Linked DNA regions of Danio rerio. The protein of the gene in region 1 interacts with the protein of each later gene in a biochemical or structural test. Links are inferred from orthologs where the notes say so. Each region holds a gene or a part of one and is shown on either strand. Other genes may lie near its edges. The genes, in order: flt4 and vegfd.

Region 1 (4,591 bases):
CAATTCTAGTGTTATGGATGTGACATATGCAGTAAAAACCTAAAGCATAAATTCACAAAAAAACTATATGTTAACATTATATACTGAAACATCTGTTTATATAACCCATAACTACAGAGTTATGGGATCAGGAAAATATCAATCTGTAAACATATCTTACATTTTAAATGAGGAAAATAAACATGCTTTATAGATGTGACCAATTTTTTTACAGTATAAAAACATTCTGTGAATTAAACTGCACAACCCAAAAGAAAAAATGCAAATCAAAACGATAAAAGTTCTCTCAATAGAACAAAAATGACTGGTTTTATTTTACATTTTGGCATTTATGAAGGAAAAGCTTCATTTTAGATGTGACATCTCTCTGTTATGGATCTTACAGATATGAAATTTGTGTGACTTTGGTAAATCAAATATAATTGTTTGAAAACACTGGCAGAGACATTTTAGAGTATTTTTTGAGTAATGTAAAATACAAACCTACACAAAGCCCTAAAAAAGGTTTCTCTATTTTGGTGGAATTCAGTCTTGTCTGTAGCACCAACTTAATAGATAAACATACTGCTGTGTAAAACTGAAGGCGTAAGGTTATAGCACTGGCCCTATATACACACAATAAACACAGTAATGATATATATTTTTAATTTCACTGCTCTCATAATAACCAGATAGATCGGAATTGGTTGTGATTTCAAAACCCAGCCAGTATATACACAGTATGAGACAATTAGCCCAGCTATTGTAAAACACGTTGCAAAAGTGTGAACTTAAAACATTAAGTCATCATCTGAGGTTTAAAATATGGCTTTACAATCACACTTTACAGCATTCTGCTCCAGTCATATATCAAATTACAAACATTCTGGAGATCTAATGATGAGATATTTGTTTCCGCCAACAGAGTAATGGAGTTTAATCAGCAGAATCTCCAGACAGTAATTACTGTCTATTATACGACACACTACAGATACTGCCTAGAAGGCAATGTTGCAGCCAAAAGAGCTCCTCATGCTGTTACATAATAAACCTGCTTGACACGTTCAAATGTAGTTGACCACTAATTTAAATTCTGCTCTTCATATCAGCTTCACAAGGTATTCTGAAAAAGTAGGTAATTTGGAAAGCCATGCTGCTTAAAGGTATTCTAACATTTTGGACATACTGTAGCGCTTGTTATGACAAAGCAGTCAAGCACAGGGACACCAAGCTGCCATGTGGTTTTGATTTTGTGCAGTGTTTTAATAAAGACATCTATAAGTGTGGTTCTTATAGCTGTAGATTCCTAGCATTGAGAAAATTCTCATCCTTTTGCCAAAATCTATAGAAGAGGTGCTACAGTATTTGATGTGTAACCTGCCAACATGCTGGAAGAATTAGTTTTACAACCCTTCCAATCTCAATATATGACACCTGCACTGGCTGAGACTCTTAAGTATCTCTTTTAGTTGGGATTCACTGCAAAATGAACTTCTTTCTTCACCACTAGCATGAAAAAGGGATTTTTGAGAGCAGTGCAGTGAGGAGAAAAGTGGGTTTCTGCTGTCTCAAACAGCTCAGTATTATGATTGGCTGATATCACACCCCCTGACTGAGGGTCTGGTTTCAGAGGTGTTCTGTTGGAATAATACTGTGTACATAAGAAATACCACAGCAAAAAATAATAATATGCGGGATATCGATAACAGAAAACATTAGGAAATACCATGACGATTAAGGTCAAAATAAAAACATGATTTTGCATCTGCCACAAAAAAAAGATTATTCCTGTCAATGCAAAAGTCATTGTGGCTTCTAATTAGCATATTTGATGGATCACAGCTTATCATTCTCATGTCATGCAACTCAACTGCTTTATTAAAACTGTGTCTGGCTACATTGCAGTCTGGAGTTTTAATTCCATCCCATTAGTAATACCAATTAACAAAAGGCATTCACCTTTCATGTATAACCACAAGGCTCCCTCTAGTGATGTGTCATATAGTACTTTCGTTGAGGGAAAAAGTAAATTAAACTGCAGACATTGCAATGATTGCTCGTGTGAAGGAGAACAGCAGTGCGGTGATTGTAATGAACTATGCATAGCCTAACTAAAGGCGAACAGTCGTGAGATGCACAGAAGGACAGAAAGTCAAGTAGAATTAAAAGTACATACAAATTCATAGACTCTGCTTTAAACCTCATGCAAGAATTATGAATTTTGTGAGTTATGAATAGAGCTAGTCTACTTGATGTCTTCGATTCATTAATCTTTTAAATTGTTTTAATACCTGATTATGGTTCAAATTGTGTAGCTAATTGGTGGTTATGACTGGTGTTAATAAATTACTAATGATAAATGAGAGGATAATTATTAGGCACAATTATGAAGAAAAAAAGTTATACAAAAGAAAACTTTTGCTGAAGTAGGTTAATACAAAACTTGAGCAACTCGGGAAAAGCTCCCGACAAACTTTCATGAAAACTTGAGTTTTAAAAGGCGACAAAATTCAAACGGTCACATTAATGCGAACCTTTCGCGCTCTTTCAGTTTTGATAGTTGTTCATGAAGTGAATGTTCTGACATTGCCTCTTTTTAAATGAAACAAAGAGTTTAAATTTTGCCGCGTTCTATTATGACAACAAACTTCGAAGTGTTTAGGAAAATGCGTTCTCACCTGAGAAGAAGGGAATCCCAATCCAAATCCGACAGAAAAACGTAAAATCTCTCTTCATTTCCAGGTTTCCAGTCCTCCGGGGTTTTAGATATTCTAGCAAACCTGCGCGTTTTCTGATGTCATTTAATAAAGCCAACAGAAGCACCTCAGAATCAGGTGAAACCCAAAGAAGCGTCTCTGCAAGAGGATGTGCCACAGGACGACGGGAATAAAACGCTCTTTTTCCTGTTGAAAAGAGAATCCCGAAGTTCTGAATGGATTTACAATCATTTCCTTTTCCTCTGACTCACTCATCTGCCTCCTTTCGTTCATAAACGCCCGTGTCCTCCTCAGTGATAATACTATTACTCCCCCAGTCTGAAGTGTCACATAAAGTGTCTGGCCCCTGTGCTGTAAGTTTTAACTGACAATGCCTTCTGAAGACCAGCAGTTCATTTGCGTCCACTATAGTGGACATATGGTTTGTGTTAATATTACCGAGGTCTTAAATGCCACTGTTTGAAGTTCTGATATGCAGGATTTCTGTGATAAAAATTGGCTGAAGTTGAAGAGTTGGTCTAGTGAGAATAATTGCCATGGTCTGATACTGAAAAGGCTACATCTCAACAGTGAATTGTTCCACACTCCCAGTTGTGATTTTTGAGGAAATTGTTCATCCAGCAATGAAAAAAAAAAAAAGGTTTTGATAATAATAAAAAAATGCAAGTCAATGGCTGCTGGATTTTTGACAACCAAATGTAAATAAATAAATAACAAATTAATTAAATAACAAGTTGTGGCTCCTGAAGATACATTGGCTGTATCTGAAAGCTTATAGGATGCTGACTTGTTGCCAGTATTTCAGCATGGCACCTCGTAAAACAGATTTCAGACTTCTGAGACAACATAATGATTTAAACACATACAATAAAATAGAGAGAGCTTTGGTGATATAACCAGGGCTAGACAGAAACTGTATACATGTTTTGCTATTTCTGCGCAGAATTTTATTTGCAGTATCTATAGATTCATGCTGAATAATTATGGGAGTATAGTAACTAAAAGCTTAACGTGAAAAAAATAATAATGTTTTTTTAACTTAATGTTTACAGTGCAAATCCAATGAGATCAATTTGTTTGGTAAACAAAGCATTCTCTCCTATAAATGTATTTAACAGAAGATTAATAGTAAAGGAAACATATTACTTTACAAACTGTTTTGTAAATAAATCATAAACATTTGCACATTAGTTAATAAAATTACTGAAATGATTATAAAAACCGAGGTCCCACTTTATTTTAGGTGACCCTAATAAATATGTATTTACATTATAAATTAATAATTTGCTACAATGTTCTTGTGTAAATGTTTTTACATTGCATTTATGACTGATTAAACCTGCATGTAATCTGTTATTAATTTCTGTAATTGCATTGGTAATTACACTGTAGACCATTCTTTACACCTTCTTCCACCCTTAAACCTATCCATGGCCATAACCTAACAAACCTTTTCCTAACCTTACCTGTATCCATCCTCAAAAGCACCAGAAGTGTTCTGCAATACATTATGAACACAGTAAGTACATTGTATTAATTTTTTGATGCAAGTAGAAAGTAGTTAAGGCCACTTCATATAAAGTGGGACCAAAACTGAATATTTACACACATTTACATATAAATGAATATGCTCGATGGACTAAAAAACGTATCTGCAGATTTCAGTGCATGCAGATTTAATGTGAACCTAGTGATAATGAAAGGAACATTTGATAACTACAATAGTCACAAAATTAAAAAGTTGGTCAAAAACATACATTTACACATTAAAAAATGACAATAAAGAGGGTGGCGCTGTGGTGCAGTGGGTAGCACTGTTGCCTAACAGCAAGAAGGTCACTGGTTCGAGCCTTGGCTGGGTCAGTTGGTATTTCTGTGTGGAGTTTGAATGTTCT
Region 2 (2,861 bases), on another chromosome or scaffold:
TAAAGGCATCTTTACATAAACACGCGATGGAACAAAACTGCTTCAACAATACACAACATATAATGAGTTTCTTTTGCATGCACAAGTTCATTTTTTTTCAATGCATGCGGAGCGACATGCTTGCACTTTCCAGGCACGCCTAGTTGAAAACATTTACATTTTTAAGAATACTGCAAGCACACCACAAATCACATGACGAATAGATCGATCAGATTAGTACTTTGTGAAATGAAAATACCAAATAATTTTGTAATAGTTGATTTAAAGTGCCTTTCAAACAGAGGTTCAGCAGCCTTTGACTACATTTTTAAAAGAGGAAATACTTTGCTAATATGTAGCTTAGATTTGTATTAAACAAATATTTTTAATTGGTTTTTATTTGTATTTATTTTCAGTGTAAAATTATTACTTTTGTTTAAATGTCACTTCTTTTTAAGTCCAAAAAGAAATGGACTATTGTTTGTTTTTGTTATTACCCAGCAGGCACAGGACATCAACATGACATCAGATTGTACCCCAACGTCGTGGGACGTTGCATTTTGATTGAAAATGAAAATCGAGTTGACATCAGAACCAATGTCAGGCCAACATCAATTTCCAACATTGGACAAACATGCATTTTGCTTACTTTCTAACACAACCTAAATACAACAAAATATCAACATCTAATCTTATTACACCTTGACGTTGTGTGGATGTTTTACACTATGACGTTTATCAGACATTGGATTTTGGTTGCCATACCTGATAAATAAATGTCAGTATTTATCATCTATATGACGTTGGTTTAAGATGTTGGCTCAACGTTAGATTTTGGTCACTTTCCAACACAAACTAAAATCAACCAAATATCAACTTTATTTCATGTCATTATTGAACTTCAAAATAACATTGTCCTTAAAAGCTGTTGACCTAAATCCATATGTCTTATGATGTTGTGTGTCTGCTGGGTATTATTTTCTGCTGTGTTATTTAGTTACTGAGCCACAATATATAACAATTTAAAATATAAATGTTCATGTAGTTTCCTAAACTAGTAGTGTTTTGAAATTAATAAATGCATGATAACAGTAATAACCATCGTGATTATTTCTCAGACTATAATCATATAACCAAAATCTATAATCATTGCATCTATAGAGGTTTAATATTTATAAGATTGTTGGTTGCATGCCAATTTGTTACTGAGATTTTCACTAATATATATATATATATATATATATATATATATATATATATATATATATATATATATATATATATATGTATATATATATATATATATGTATATATATATATATATATATATATATATATTTATATATATATATATATATATATATATATATATATATATATATATATATATATATATACATACATACATACACACACACACAATCTTTGGCATTATTTCACATTATTTACTCGACTCTCTCAAGGTATCAGCATTGGCACTGCCTACTGAAAGACTGACCGCTTGTGACTTTGTAAAGGTTATTGTGCAGCTGTCACCGGGCACTTAGTAGTTATTCAATTCATGTTTTGCAAAACAGCCATGATCTTCTGCTCATATTGGTGGCAAGCATCCCAAACTCCAATCCCTAGGATCTGTGTCTTCACTGAGCTTCTAAACAGGTGGTCCATACTGAGCTAATAGAGCTTATGCTGCAGTTGTTTAGAGTGGGCCTCTGCCAGAGGGTGTTCCATGTGATTGGCTACACAACCTGGTTTCAGAAAAGAAAACTTGAACTTTATGGTCCTCCAGATTAGGTCCTAGAGATTATGAAGATCCAGTAGGTCTCACAGGTAGTATATGGCTGTCCAGTCCACAGTGCTTTAAAACTGCGTCATATTACCATAGAGTTCTTTAAGCCGTGCTGAAGGTTGCCTAGTCATGTCAAAAAGGATTGGCAATAAATCATGCGAGTCTATAACTTGGTATATAAATTATAGCAGAACCACACAAGGAACAGCTGCATCCTTTCCCTGGTGTAATACTGATTCTTTGCACAGCCAAAAAAATGCAGAGGATTTATCATTGATTATCGCTACCGCCCTCTAGTGGATACAAGTAGATCTGGTCATGCGTTAGTGATTAAATCCTTCCAGTTCGCCTTTTACCATGGCAGGACTTCACACACCTCACAAACAGCAGGGAGTTTGAATGATGCAAGTCTTTATAGTGGGTTGTTAAGTGAAGAAAAAAGGTGTTTCTAATTTGTGAAGTATTACATCATTATTTCAAATCATTTCTCGAACTTCCGCATTGCTCTTCCATTGCTTTTTCTTTGGCCGAATTTTACTCAACATGCCTCAGGCCCTATTCCTCGAAAAAATTTTCCATTGTTGTATTAAAATCAGCAGTCCCAGCACTTTTTTTAGACTCAAGATTATATATCTCCACAGGACACAAATCAGGAAAAGTGGGAGCAGGAACTGAGGGAAGCCGGGAGTCTGGATGAGCTTCTGATGTTGACCGAATACCCGGACTGGAAGTTGTGGAGATGCAGACTCAAGCTGAAGCACTTCGATGACGTTACCCCACCTGAGAACCGCAGGTCAACTCGATATGCAGCCGCATCGTTCAGCCCAGAGATGCTTAAAGGTTATGATCTTCTTTGAAATGTCTGATGTCTAAATGCATAATTGTGAAAGCAACGTCATGCTAAATGTATAAACTAATCTGTTTTTCAGATATTGATGACGAATGGCAGAAAACACAGTGTATGCCGAGAGAGACATGTGTTGATGTGGCTAAAGAACTGGGAACCAATACAGCTGTGTTTTTTAAGCCCCCATGCGTCTCTGTCTTCAGGTGTGGCGGCTGCTGCAACAAAGAGGGAGTTACCTGCCGTAAT

Evidence for each region.
Region 2: the proteins of flt4 (region 1) and vegfd form a complex in vitro, tested with the Homo sapiens proteins (2 studies listed by BioGRID). The link is inferred for Danio rerio from reciprocal best matches to the Homo sapiens genes FLT4 and VEGFD.

Annotation. Positions count from the first base shown.
Region 1 is NC_133189.1:18,235,629-18,240,219, forward strand, and holds the start of flt4 (vascular endothelial growth factor receptor 3 precursor), read right to left. Parts: upstream 2,815-4,591; 5' UTR 2,716-2,814; coding exon 2,658-2,715; intron 1-2,657. UniProt on the Homo sapiens protein: Tyrosine-protein kinase that acts as a cell-surface receptor for VEGFC and VEGFD, and plays an essential role in adult lymphangiogenesis and in the development of the vascular network and the cardiovascular system during embryonic development.
Region 2 is NC_133186.1:31,991,046-31,993,906, reverse strand, and holds part of vegfd (vascular endothelial growth factor D precursor), read left to right. Parts: intron 1-2,409; coding exon 2,410-2,608; intron 2,609-2,697; coding exon 2,698-2,861. UniProt on the Homo sapiens protein: Growth factor active in angiogenesis, lymphangiogenesis and endothelial cell growth, stimulating their proliferation and migration and also has effects on the permeability of blood vessels.